2 linked regions of the Mus musculus genome follow. The protein of the gene in region 1 interacts with the protein of each later gene in a pairwise test. Links are inferred from orthologs where the notes say so. Each region holds a gene or a part of one and is shown in the gene's direction. Other genes may lie near its edges.

Region 1 (6,781 bases):
AGCACCTCTCAATCCAGAGACCTGTGGTGTGTGGGAATGATCCAGCAGTCTTCCCTGCTCTGTGGGAGGGAGCACACATGCAATTCTGGGGACCCCTGCCACATTAGGTCCTACTGACTGCTGCCTTCTGTCCAGACCAATGAGAACATGGAGATCACCAGTGCGCTGCAGTCAGAGCAGCATGTCAAGAAAGAGCTAGCCCGGAAGCTGGGAGAGCTGCAGGAGAGACTGGGAGAGCTGAAGGAGACGGTAAGGCCTACCACGGGGGGTGCCAGTCATAACAGTCTAACTGCAGCCTGGAGCAGGCAGTCCTGGACTGCTCTTCATCTGTGCCAAGGCCAGAAGCTGCTGTTTATAGTTGTAGGTTATATAAGGCTCTGGGCTCAGGCTGGGTTCACATCCATGTGTTCAAATGCTTCCCATCTCCAAACCCATTCACTGAACTTAAAAGATGAGTTTCCTCAGAGAAGTGTTAAAGGTTAAATGAGAAATGTGCATAAAATATCAGGCACTAGTAGTTAGTGCAGAACAGGGTGGGTTGCTTTCCACTCTTGGCCTAAAGTGATGAGAAAGGTGGGTGTGAGGCTGGTTACAAAGGCACTGCCCTCATTCCTGGCCGTCCTGCAGGTGGAGCTCAAGAGCCAAGAAGCACAGGGTCTACAGGAGCAGCGAGACCAGTGCCTGTCCCACCTGCAGCAGTACGCTGCTGCTTACCAACAGCACTTGGCGGCCTATGAGCAGCTGACCTCTGAGAAGGAGGCAATACACAAGCAGCTTCTGCTGCAGACTCAGCTCATGGACCAGCTGCAGCATGAGGAGGTACAGGGCAAGATGGCAGCCGAGCTGGCCCGCCAGGAGCTGCAGGAGGCCCAGGTGAGGCAGCTGTTAAGGCTGGGCCCAGGGGGAGGACCTGGCCTCCTCTGTGCCTTCTCACTCTTTCCTGGCCCCATAGGAGCGCCTAAAAGCTACCAGCCAGGAGAACCAACAGCTCCAAGCCCAGCTGAGCCTCTTGGTCCTCCCTGGGGAAGGTAAGACCACCCAGGAGGAGAGGACTAGAGTTGATGTATTTGGAGAAGCTTTGATTGGGCTGACCCCAGGGTATTCAGTAGGGATACAGAGGTGGGGCTCTGAGCTCTCTTCCCCTAGCCCACTCAGTCTACCTGATGGGATTATTAGAGGAGACAACCTACTGTCTGCCCCCAGGAGATGTGGACCAGGAGGAAGAAGATGAGGAGGTTCCTCAGTCGAGTCTGGCCATCCCAGAAGACCTAGACAGTAGAGAGGCCATGGTGAGCTGGGCTCTGTCTTGCCCCTTCTCTTTTCTACCTCTGTGGTCCTCGGTTTCCTACCCTCTGACTTCTTTTGATTGCCACTTTGTGCCTGGAAGCCAGTGGTCAGTCTCCCTCTCTGCCCTGCCCCCTTTGTCCTGAGCATTTCCCTGAAAGGCACACCTCCCTCTTGTGTGCAGGTGGCATTCTTTAATGCCGCTATAGCCAGAGCAGAGGAAGAACAGGCCCGACTACGTGTGCAGCTGAAAGAGCAGAAGGCACGTTGCCGGAGTTTGTCTCACTTGGCAGCCCCAGTCCAAAGCAAGCTTGAAAAGGAGGCAGTGGTCCCCAGGAATGTGGATGACTCTGCATCTGAGGAGAGCAATCAGGCCCTACATGTAGCCATGGAGAAGCTGCAGGTGAGTTTGTCTGTGGGGGCTGGGAGTGTGGGGGCCAGCCAGGGCTCCTGAGTCCCTGAGACCTCTGTCTTGGCTCCAGAGCCGCTTCCTGGAGGTCATGCAGGAGAAAGTGGAGCTCAAGGAGAGGGTAGAGGAGCTTGAACATTGCTGCATTCAGCTTTCTGGAGAGACAGACACCATTGGTGAGGTGGAGCCCAGCCCAAGGCAGTGGGGGCTGTGCAGGGGGGTAGACTGGGGGAGCCACAGTGTCTGAGCCTTGTCCACCTGCCTGCCGTCTCCACAGGAGAGTACATTGCCCTTTACCAAAATCAGAGGGCGGTGCTGAAGGCTCGGCATTTGGAGAAGGAAGAATACATCAGCCGGCTGGCTCAGGACAAGGAGGAGATGAAGGTAGGCCTACACTTCTGTAGTCCAGGCCCTGCCTAATCTGGGCTGGGCCCTTCAAGTTGAGCTCCTTTTTCTCCAGGTGAAGCTGCTGGAGCTCCAGGAGCTGGTGTTGAGGCTTGTGAACGAGCGCAATGAATGGCAGGGCAAGTTCCTGGCCGTCTCTCAGAACCCTGGTGACGTGCTCACCCCAGTGCCCACAGGCTCCCAGGAATTTGGTGCTGCTGACCAGCAGGATGGTGAGTAGAGCTGTTGTCTCTTGGGAAGGCACAAAGGGGAGGAGTCCCATGGCGTGCAGAGCCATGACCCCCTCCCCCTTTCTCTAAAGACCTCAGGGAGGTGAGCCTGGCTGACGATATAGAGCCTGCACAAGGAGAGGCAGGGGTACCTGCTCCCCATGAGAACCCTACTGCACAGCAGATCATGCAGCTGCTGCGTGAGATCCAGAACCCCCGGGAGCGGCCAGGCCTGGGTAGCAACCCTTGCATCCCCTTTTTCTACCGTGCCGATGAGAACGACGAGGTGAAGATCATGGTTGTATAAAAGACTGGCGGCCAAAGCCTCAGCAAGGGCAGCCAGAGGTTCTGCCCCAACCCACACCCTTCCTCAGCCACCCTTATCTTTATAATAATAATAAGGTCAGACTCCATCCCCTCCAGGGGCTGGGGAAGTAGCTCAGTTGGTAGAGTGCTTGCCTGCTGTGCACACAGCCTTGGGTCCCCAGTACCTCTGAAAAGGCTGATACCTGTAATTTGAGTGCTTGGGAAGTGGAGGTGGAAGAATCAGCCATCCTCATCTACCTAGTGAGTTTGAGGCCACACTGGGCTACATGCGACCCTGTCTGAAAAAACCAAAAGATCAGGCTCCTATCTTAATGGGGGACACAGACTGGTACAGATCTGCCTCTTAGCCAGGGCAGTTTTACTTTGTAAATTCCTGTTACAGAAAGAACGCCAGAGACTCAGTGATGGAGCAGACTGTGCTGGGTGGCCTGGGGGCTTTCTCACCAAGGAGGGCCTCAGGCCTTACTCAGGACTCTGGGGCAGAACAGAGTGGCAGCATTCTCGTGCCCAGGTGCAGTGCAGGCTGGTAAACTGGCCTAGCATTCAGCAGGGCTTCTAAGTTTTCACCGGCTCAGTCCTCCCTATCCTCCTTTTCCTCCCCGCCCCCATTTTATCTTCATTTTCTTTACGGAGTGTCTCCTGTAGCCCGAGCTGAGCCCCTGCCTCACCGCTGTGCCTGGTGGTTGGCAGTGCTAAGCAGGCACTCTACCAAGTGATTTACCCCCAGCACTCCCTGCCTTTTTCCTTTGTGTGGTGATGCTGGGGATGGAACCCAGGGCACAGCAGGTCCCCAGATCAACTCCCATCTTCTCAGAGGCACTTTAGGGCAGTGGGGCTGGGCAGCACTTCATGGGTCCTCAGGCAGTTGGGGCTAACTGCCTCAGGAAGGCATCCCACTTTGGAGGGCTTCCATCTTTTTGAGGCACTTTGGGACAGGGAAAGTGGGTACCATTCTCTCAGGCCTTATGACAATTGGGGTAACTACGCCAAGCAGGACAGAGGCTGCTGGGGCAGGGTGGCCTTCCCCTCCCCCGGTGTACATATTGTACCTGTGTACTATTTTGTATATACCGGGGTAGGGACACCCCTGTATCATAGTGGAGGTTGGAGCTGGCAAATGGGAAGAGCTTCTAATAATCACTTTGGGCTGGGAACCTTATTTATTGGTAGTGTTAGGTCAGAGGGCAGGAGGCGGAGACAAGGTTGTGGCACCTGCTGATGCAGCTCCTCTTTATTTTGCTTTTTACTTGGGAAATAAATGGATTTAGCCATACTGCTGGGCCTAGGGTGTTCGTCATTGGTTCTGGGGTTAGCCTCAGGCTGGCACTGAGCAGGGAATGTGTCCTGCCTGGAGAGAGCAGGCTTCTGGCCTGTATGGAGCCCAAGGTCTGAAGTGCCTGGCAGGGCTGATTGACACCTATCACCTATACACTGCCTATTGAAGCCTAGGGACCCCAGGGGGAGTACCATGGGGCTACAGGGACAGAGCTTCCTTACTGAGTAAGAGAGTCAAGCCTGACATATAGTATACATAGGTGGGACTCGGGGTGCAGCAACTAAGGGCGCTGACTTCCAGGCCAGGCCTCTTACATTCCGACCCTTCCCCTTAGTCTGTCCACACTAGAGACCTGTTTTGTTCTTTAGGCTGTTCACAGCATCCTGGCTGAGCTCATGATACTGCCCCCTAGTGGTGTAAGCAGGATTCGTAGGATGAGGACCTGCTAAACTCACAAGCACCCTAGCAAGGGCCTTTCCTCACCCTCCATTCAGTGCCCAGTTTACACCGTCCTCTCAGCCCCAGAGAATACAAACCAGCAGAGGTACACGCAATTCCCCATGATCCAGAAATGGGTTTTATTCTCAGCCAAGAGACAGCAAGACTGGTGGCTACCAGAGAACTGCACAGCTGCTGCTGCTGCAGCATCCCCTTGCTGCAGGGTTGGGATGGCCAAGGGGATGGCTGTTCACAGGCCAGGAGGACAGGGGGGCTCACTGGAGGTGGTACACTGGAGGGGGGGTTGTCAGGATGACAGCGTTCCCTTGTTGGACCACAAGACTCCACAAGGACAGCATGGTGGTTGATTCTGACACTACAGGCGAGGCTGTGTCAGCCATATATATGTATATATATGTATATATAGGTATATTTATAGATATTTATAGAATGTCGCAGGAGCAATACCACAGAGGGGCACAAGTTTTCACCAACATCACATCTGGATGTGTCAGCTCACCACTACAACAGACTAAGTCACAGATGATGAATAGGACGCTTTGGGGCCGGGGGAGCCACTGTCAAGTCACAGAACAGCTGTCCAGGCAGGCTTGGTAAGGGAGGTCTCCGAGGAGTAGGAGGGATCTGGTTAGAGGTCGAAGGGGGGCCTGGGGCTCTCAGGACGGGACGGACTTGCCTGACCCGATCGGCTGGCAGTTGGAGAGAAAGCCGAGAGAGAACGGAAGAGAGAAAAGGAAGGAGAGCTGGTAAGGCAAGAGCAGCCACCTCCAGCAGAGGCAGGGGCTGAGGCAGGTGTGGATGTGGGCAGGGTTCCCGGAAGAGATGCACAGTTGATGAATGAAAGGGAAGATGGGGTGCTGGGCCGTAACTAGCAGGTAGTCTGAGTAGAGGCTGGTGGCCCTCTCTTGCCACACACACGGCCTCTCACACACCACCCAGGCAATGCACCACAGGGCCTCCCTCATTTTTGCTCACTGTCTCTCATCTCACTGGCTCAGGGCCACCCCAAGCCTCAGGGAGTCCCATGTAACAGCCATGAGGCCAGAAGTGCTTGAACCAGGAGATTGAAGCTAAAGGGGATGGCTGGAGGGAGCGCTGGAGGCCCCTCAGGTGGTCAGAAAGTCAGGAGTCCTCTGAGGGGACCCTGGGGAGGCTGGGAGGCAGGCAGCCGATGCCTGCGGCCACAGACTTATAAGTCTAAGAGGGGAGCCTCCGTTGGTCGGGGGGCTGCAGGTCTCGTAGGTGAGGCTGGGCCCTTCCTGCTGGGGAAAAGCAGAAGGGTGAGCGTCAATGGCTGGGGAAGAGTTGGGACAGGGTAACCGAGATCTGTGGCCAGCCAGGCAGAACTCAAGTTGACTTTCCCAGTCAGTAGACAATGCATTGCCTTCGGCTAAAAGGCACAGGTCACTCTGAAAACAGGTCAAATGTTGGAGCTGATGGGCTGGCTCTATGTCGGGGGCTGACGAGGTGGCTGTTAGCTACAGGTGTGCAATGTCAAGGATGAATGAGATCCTCACCTTGCCTGCGAGCCCTCAGGCGCTGGCAGAAAGGCAAAGGCTCTTAAGTTGTCTAAAGTCACCAGTCAGAGCCTGGCTTTGCCAGCGCGATTCTCATGCTTGCCCTGTGGTGAATTTAGTCGCCATGCTCCTAGGCTGGAAGGAGAAAGCTCTTATCTTGGCAGCATAGTTCAGAGTAGGTATGAAGAGGGGGTCCTAACGCTTCTGGCCCCTTCAGAGGCTGAAGACACCCTCTCCTAGTTCTTAGTCCCTACACTGTCAACAGTGGTCTGGTGTCTCCAGGGAGCACCCACATCTACCGTCTTGGACATGAAACCTGTTCCAAGAGCCCTCAGTTTAAGCAAGAAGGCCTTGAGTAGTGGCGCTGAGTCCCGAGGCTCACTGGAAAGGGAAGTGAGAGAGCCAGCTGGAAGAGGACAGGAAGAGGGAGTCCAGAGCTGCAGGAGAAGGAGGAGGGGCCTGGCTCAGGGGTCCCAGGTGTCCTCAGCATGGAGCTGGTGCAGCGAGGAGGGAGGGGTAGACACACTGTTCATGCAGCAGGCTGAGAGCATAACCTACCGTAGCTGACACTCCTCAGGGGTCACTGATAGTGATTCTGAAAGACAGCACGAAATCAACAGGGCAGTTCACAAACACACAGGTGGGCCAGGCTGGGGGTTAGGGGACACACACACGCACACGCCTGGGCGTGCACACACATGCTGTGAGGCCTTAAGGCCCTGCGTGCACACGTTAACACACATGCCCACAAACACGCATATATCTCCCTCCCACCTCCCAGTGCCCAGCACCATTGCCGGCCAATACGTCGTGCAGCACGGATCTGGGACATGCAGCCACTCAGCACACAGAAGCACACGCATGAGCTGTCACAACACAGAAGCTCGCCTGCACA
Region 2 (7,732 bases), about 15 Mb from region 1:
TCAATAAATCCATTTTCATGTTCAAGTTTTTCCAGATGTGAGAAATAATTAAATCTTTGCATTTATTGGAGCCATTTTTGCTTTTCAGACAGGAACTGGCAGCTGGAGTGAATTAACTCTGCCTGAGTGTGTATATAGTGTTTGCGGTATGTGTGAATGTACATACACGCATGCATATAGCACTTGTCAATAATAAAACAAAGTTAGACTTGAAAACAACCCAAAATGAGAGGCTGGTTATGACAACTCATGCTAAGCATTGTCGTAGGGATGCTTCATAACTGAGAGCCCGCTCTCCACTGAGTCCCCTGTTCTTTATTGTTCTGCTAAATGTTAAAGAAATGAAAAGATTCATAACTGTTAAGTGATATATTTTTAAAAATATGTGATTCTTATAAAATACAAAATAAGTGCTTCTCAAATATTTCAGTAAATGAGGGGACTGGTAAGATGTTGCAGTTGGTTCAAAGTGAATGGCCTTCATAGATACATAAATAGGAAGGAATGCTGAAATGAATTTAAAACTGGATGCAGAGCCAATAATCAATTGTGTCCTCTAAGATATAATTTACACTCCTAAAGATTAGATTATTATCATTTTTTCAGCATGAAGAATTACAGCATAGCTTAAAGACAGTCAAAGGACAATATAGTTACAAAGAAGCATTTGATAAGATACTCAAATTTTTTATGTCAGTGTCAAAGTCTTTCACAACTATTCTATTTTTAAATTTATTTTATTTTATTTTTTATATATACACTATCCATTCCTTCACTGCTCCCCTCCAGGTCACCCTCTCCCACAGCCTTTCCTCCTTCCCCCTTCCTCTCCCATTCTCCTCTGAGCAGGGGCAACCCTTGGGTATCCCCCTACCCCAGCACATCAAATCTCTGCAAGGCTAGGTGCTTCCTCTCCCACTGAGGACAAACAAGGTAGCCCAGCTAGAACATATCCCACATACATGAAACAGCTTTTGGAATAGTCCCTTCTCTACTTGTTGAGGACCCACATGAAGACCAAACTGCTTATATGTGATATATGTGCGAAGAGGCCTAGGTCCAGCCTGTGTATGCTCTTTGGTTGGTAGTTCAGTCTAGACCCTGAGAGCCCCAAGGGTCCAGGTTGGTTGATTCTGTTGGTCTTCCTGTGGAGTTCTCATCCCCTTTGGGGCCCACAATCCTTCCTCCTATTCTTCTATAAAAGTCCACAAGCTCCATTCACTGTTTGGCTATTGGTGTCTGTATCTGAGTTAGCTCCTGTGTGGAGCCTCTCAGAGGACAGCATTTTTCTGTCTGAAAGCATAACAGAGTATCATTAATAGTGTCAGGGATTGGTCACAACCATTCTTAGTACATTCCACATAAAACTTTAGGAAAGGGATACATGCATGCATACATACATACATACATACATACATACGTGTTTGTACACACACACATTATACATACACATACACATACATATACATCTTCCTTTTTGTGTAGTAATCAAGATGTTTGATCCTGCCTGGCTCTCTGGCTCTGGTTAAAGGGTATATTCAGATAGTTAAAGCCATTGACTTCTTTTGTATGACTGTGAGGGCCCAATAAGAAAATGGGGTTTAAAGGCTTATATACCCCTTCATATTATATCTTCATATGGGAGAAAGTATTGAGTCAAGATGGAGGCAATTTTAGGGAAGAATAAATGATTTACTGGGGGAGGGGGTGGTGAGATATAGACTCAGAAAGACAACAGACTGAGACAAAGTTTGTTTCGGCTTTGGGTGTTTGGTTTCCTCTTCTTGGTTGATGAAATAACATGGTAGAAGCCCACTATGTTCGCTTTTGGTAGAAGCAGCCTTTGTGTAAATAAAGAATTTTCAAAGAAGAGCTCTTTCCAGATTCTGCTGATTCCCCAGTGTCTGTAATCTAAAGCATCCCATGGTCTGAGGCATCATATTTTCTGGTATCTCCCATCTCAGCTCAGAACTCAATTGTAATTTATGATAATACAACATTAAACTTACACTAGGATTTACGAAAAAGGATAGGTATTTTTGAAACGTAATAACTGCCCACTAAGGACCCTTTTCTAACAAATTCCCCAAGTCAGAGTTTATACCTATTGACAGAAAAGCTTGACTGATAAAATCAGGGCTTAAAAAATATAGAGGAAATTTGACATGACTTTTATACTATCTTCTTATGCAAATGAAAAGAAGACACACTAAATCAAAAGTAATGGTGTATGTGGCTTGCCAGAAAGTCCATTAAAGAGTTCACTCAGCAAGTTTTGAGGTGATTTTTTTCCTGCCAGGGTATGTGCTACTTACTACTGGATCTCCTTATCCTGGTGTAGAACCAGCATAACAACATCAGTGTGTACTAAGCAGGCATCAGTGTGTACTAAGCAGTTCCTATCACACTGTTTTGCAAAGGAAGCAAATAGTTCACTGTTCTTAGCCTTCTGTTTGTCCTCTCTGAAGGAAAGCATTCTAAGTGAGGGTTTGTGATGGTTGTCAGCACTGGGGCCCAACAGAAGGCCTTGCATAGAAGCAAGCAAACTTGGTAATAAGCCAGCTGTGTTCCTAGCCATCTTTTTATGTTTATTTAAGACATGGTCTTGCTAAGTTGTCCAGGTTGGGATGAAGCTCTCTCTGTAGCTTGGGCTGGGCTTGAAGTTGTGATTGCTTTGCTCCCATCTCCTAAATTGGCTGGAAATGCAAGCTTTAAAGATTTTAGTAATGTGACTTTAAAATTCTGATTCTGACCTCTTAAAAGAAAAAATATGTTCATATTATGTGTGGTGTTTGGTGTGTCTTTGAAACTTTTGTGCATTAAAGGTTAACTGATTATTTTATTGCAGCCCAGCGAAGAACCATTAAGAACTCACAGCAAGATTGAAGATGAGAAGAAATCCTGCTTAAGCCTCAGGCACGCCATTCACTATGGAAACAGACATCACCCAAAGCAACATGAGCATTGTCATCTGAAGTGGAAGCTAAGAGGTTCATCTTGGACAGCGTTGGGATATTTTTTCCTATGTACTTCTGAAGGTTTGCAAGAAAAGTTTTTAGAAATTATTCCTCCGTAGAAAGCATTTCCTTCCTGAAGGTAGCACAGAGGAGCCTCTACAGAAGCAAAAGACAGCCTTAGGGAGAGGACATGAGGGAAACTTATAGATTGCAAATTCTCCTTACAGGACAAGTTTATAACAAACGAAAAGAATTCCAGTAGACGTGAGGGACGACATGGCTGTTATCTCAAAGTTTCCCAATTTAGCATTCCGGGGACAGTTCCTTTCTGGCATTTTGCTGGTTAAGTGGGGTCTGTGATACCCTTAATTTGACCTCTATTCAAAACTGTTTAATGAGAAAGCCAGCAAATCATGAAGAAGTTAGTCAGACGTAACAATGTTTTCCTAAGTCACATTTCACAGAGGGCACTGGATGCCATTAAGAGACAATAGTAGGCAGAATAGATGTGGAAACAGGAGGCAGACAGGATTCTTCTTTTAGAAGGGAAAGATTTAGTAAGTTGGGTAGGGCTTTTGATTGACGGTCATCACAGGTCTCTGCATGTGTCACTGTGGTGTGTAACACTCATCCTGACAACTATAGAAATTTCTTTATAGGTTTCTTGAAGAGATTTGTTTTAGGTCATTGTTTTTTGCCTTATCAACCTTTTTTTGTGGTACAGTTTTGCCTTTTGGAAAAGCATGTGAGAAACAGTATGGTTTTTGATGGATGTTCAGAATTCGAATGACTTATTAGATAAGGCTGGGGCATTTTTCTTTTAAAAACTGATAAGGACGTGTACAGAGATAGATATTCAATAGTTAAGACTATATAAAATGTAACATGAAACTAGCTCCACAACTTCAGAATCACTATTCTACCTTCATAGATGTTCAATGGGATATATAGACATTAGATCTTCTTAACTTCAGGGTGTTTTTTTAAATTAAAAATATTTTACAAGTTATTAAAAATAAATTGAAAACAAGATGATATCAAAATATATTTGGCTATGTAGGAATGAAGTATTATTTTGGATAAAGCTCTATTTTATGTAATTAATTTAATTAGTCACCATGGGGTGTTTTTCTAACACTGATCACTGATATGCAATACTTTTATAAAAAGCAATTTTACCTTAAAATTTAAACAGCCAAATTAACACATCAGGAATGAGAGATTCTTAGAATTGCTTAAATCGACAATAAAGGATTTATTTAGAAGAGTTTTCTTAATTATTGAACTAGTAAGATAGTCTACACAACAAATATGGTAATGTAATTTCTTAGTTTTCCAAGTGTGGGATACAGTGAGACTATAAAAGATACTAGTGAGTTAGTGAAAATTCACACAATGACAAAAATGCAGAGCATAATTATTTCCAATGCAGCGATGTTTCCTGAAGTCTTAAATAATATATCAACATATATTAACTTCAACTTCTCATGTTTAATGATGTTTACGATTAATATGGTACAGTATTCCCTAATTTGAGATTAGCAGTTGTAATTAACTCAGAATAGATTCTTTGAAGTGGTTCAAAGGGCTTTTTGTAATAAATTATTAGCCTCTAATCAGCTAATATGAAGTGAGTAGTTTTGGGGGATGTGAGAAGTACACTAAAACCTCATAAAACATTTAATTTAAGTTAATGAAATAAATTTGTATGGTACGGAGTCTCTATATGGAAACAGAATGACTGACATTCCAGAGGAGGCTTTATTTAGACCAAGTTGAGATATCTTTGGGATAAAGGCTTTAGGCCGGTGCTATCTTAGGTGTTATAGCTGAGTAGATTTCTAGAATTGTCAAGTCCCTTTAAAACAATTTTTAAAATTAATTGATTAATTGATTTAAAATTCATTAGTAGAAGATAAAAAAAAACCATTTTGTCTTGGGTTTCCTATGCTATCCTAAGAATGTTGATTTTAAGTTTGTAAAGTTGAGCTTTGACTTAGGAGAGAGTTTTCACTTGTGAGGCTGGGCCTGGCAGACCCTGAGGCTCCTGGGTGTTCACTGACACACCATTGAGATAAGGAGTGACATGAGCCAGGGATAAAGTCTGGCAAGCCTTTGCTTCCAGTGCCCCAGAGACTTGGTAGCTCACGGGTGTGGTAGTTCCTGAGAAGACACAGTTTGAAAGCATTAATATCTTCATAGGGTAAAGATGAAGGTACCTGTATCCGGGGATGTAAAAGAGGAAACTGAGGAGGAAAATGTGGAGCAGGAAGAAAACCAGGAAGCCAAGGTGAGCAAGAAAGAACTCACTTAAGCACAGAACTCTGTCCTTTAACAGATAAGGGAAAATCAGACCTTCTCCCTCCCTCTTTCTTTTTAATTTTCACATAGGTGTCTCTGAAACCTGTTATTGAAGACCTCAGCATGGAACTGGCCAGAAAGTGCACCGAGCTCATTAGTGACGTAAGTGGCTTTAAAGACTTTTATCTTATTTGCTTCCTTTACGTGGAATGGCTGTGTTGTAGAGTCATGGGGCTGGAGAGAAAACTCCCGAGGTTACCAGTTAGAGCACTGTCATTTTCTAGATCATAGAACTAAGTCCAGACATGTTAGGTGATTTCACCAAGGTCATATAGACAGTGATTGTCTAATGGAATAATTGTCCTCATTCCTAATCCAGATTCTGTCTCTTCCGGGTTGTGTAGTCATACTATGTTTTATGGTGTTGTGTTATCAAGCTCATGTTTGAGAACCCCCAAGACTTTAAAATTAGCAGAACGATATCATTTGTCTTGGAAGGATCTCTAAGTGAATGACTTTCAATATGGAAGGCCTTTATCTAAATGAATAGTACTTAACATTCTGAAGGCCATTTGAAGTTTCTGTCAAAGTCAATACTTTTCCATTTGCTTTTAATTGCATCTAACATTTCTTTGCAATATAGTGTGTGTATGTGTGTGTATGTGTGTGTGTGTGTATGTGTGTGTGTATGTGTTAATGGAATTGTACACTGCAAACACTGGTTCACATGATAATATCATTAAAAAAATTTTGTTTTTAGGAACTAAAGCTAGTTTATATGCTATTCCAAATGAAATCCTAGAGTTATTTAATGTAAACACATCCACATACATGATAAATTTATAAACTAGAATTCTAAATTTATAAGCAAGACTATTTCTTACTTGGTATGAGAACCCACCAAATACTCATAAACAATGTAAGAGAACTACTGGCTTAAAAAACATGGAGCTCTATGAAATGAAGTGTGTTTGTATCTGAATTCAGGGAGCTGAGCACAAAACTGGCTGCAACTGTTCTTTGTAATTTGCAAGTTTGTTTCCTAGGCAGTAGCGTAATACTTTGGTCAGTTCTCCAAGGCCAACTTGCTAGAGTCAACTCGACAATAACCTTGGAAATATTATTGATGCTGGTGGATTTAGCTCTTCAAGTATAATGATTATAGTTAAGATGAGATGTACATAAAAAATGCTGCAGTTACTCTTCAAAACACTGTGGTGACTGATAAGGGATAGCTACCCTAAGTTACTCTATCGGTAACTTTTTTATCTTTTGACCAACTTTGTAGTAGATAAAAATGGGCATACTTCTTCCCAAATTCTTGGCATAACATGTTACATAATTCAACTTTGAATTATTTATTTATTTGTGTTATTGCTTAGTTATAACCAGAAGTTGCTTAGCATGTGAAATATGTTTTGTAAACTGCAATAATAAGACATTGGCTGTGATAATTATGATCTTGACACCAGTGGCAGTTAAGATGTATTGAGCACCACATGCCAGGTGTTGTTGATTGTCAGGGTGGGACTCTTATTCATCGCCCTCCTCCCCCCGCCCCACGTCCGCCATTTCACTTTACTCCACTGTTGCTTCTCAGAGTGAATACCCATGCAAAGCTTGTTACTCCCTCACACATCTACTTAGTGACAGCCATGTCACCATTTAGAGGCAGCTTGAAGGTGCTGCCTCTTCCCACTCTGGTATGTTTTCACTGAAGTGTAGTTATTGCTGGGCTGCAGCTCTAATTCGGCAGGTGATATATTGGAGTGTTTGGGGGAGGATTATTATTGGTGACTTAGGAACCTTCTTGTAGGGAGGCACAATGGCTTTTTATACTCGGTGACTGCCAGCACCACACATTCTCTCTTCTTTAGGTGAGATCAAGCACATGGGAGAGATCTCTGTTTATTGTAGATTTATGTTTCATGGTGGAATGTCTGGACTACTTAAGTATTTAGAATATGATTATTGTCCCTTAATTCATGACTGGATATGTGCTCATATTTCACTTCATCGTAGGCTTCCGTACTGATAAGACACTCGTTTAGCTGTTAGAATTTTTACATGGATCAATAAAGATTCTGAAAAAATACACTAATTTCTAAAATAAAAATTATATGAAGGGTTTACACCATCATCTTAATACCAAATATTAGGGCTGACATTACAGTTGAGGAGCGGAATGTGTGTCTAGCATGTACAAGGTTCTCAACTGCAAACCAAATAAGCTAACAACCAAATATTGAATAAATTAAATGTTTATGTTCCTAAATGTTTCAGTGAACTATAACTGAAAGTTTATTGTTCTTCTTTAGTGACATCAGTAATTTTATGGGGAGCAAATGGCCTTATATTTGAAATTTCTTTTTCTTCAAATCAACTTATACTTAAAAATTTCATCTCTGCAGTATAGTAGCATAGCCAGCTTGTTGTCTAAAATACATCAGTCATAGAGTTAAAATAATAGGTAT

What was found.
Region 2: the proteins of Golga2 (region 1) and Nebl interact in binary tests that used the Homo sapiens proteins (3 or more experiments, as listed by UniProt). The two-hybrid records come from large-scale screens. The link is inferred for Mus musculus from reciprocal best matches to the Homo sapiens genes GOLGA2 and NEBL.

What each region holds. Positions count from the first base shown.
Region 1 is NC_000068.7:32,304,007-32,310,787, forward strand, and holds the end of Golga2 (golgin subfamily A member 2), read left to right. Parts: intron 1-135; coding exon 136-249; intron 250-627; coding exon 628-873; intron 874-952; coding exon 953-1,028; intron 1,029-1,203; coding exon 1,204-1,289; intron 1,290-1,468; coding exon 1,469-1,687; intron 1,688-1,766; coding exon 1,767-1,869; intron 1,870-1,970; coding exon 1,971-2,077; intron 2,078-2,153; coding exon 2,154-2,310; intron 2,311-2,399; coding exon 2,400-2,614; 3' UTR 2,615-3,907; downstream 3,908-6,781. Other genes in the region: Dnm1 (dynamin-1), read right to left, coding at 5,559-5,631. UniProt on the Homo sapiens protein: Peripheral membrane component of the cis-Golgi stack that acts as a membrane skeleton that maintains the structure of the Golgi apparatus, and as a vesicle thether that facilitates vesicle fusion to the Golgi membrane.
Region 2 is NC_000068.7:17,457,973-17,465,704, reverse strand, and holds the start of Nebl (nebulette), read left to right. Parts: upstream 1-2,848; 5' UTR 2,849-3,038; intron 3,039-5,159; 5' UTR 5,160-5,166; coding exon 5,167-5,247; intron 5,248-5,348; coding exon 5,349-5,420; intron 5,421-7,732. UniProt on the Homo sapiens protein: Binds to actin and plays an important role in the assembly of the Z-disk. May functionally link sarcomeric actin to the desmin intermediate filaments in the heart muscle sarcomeres.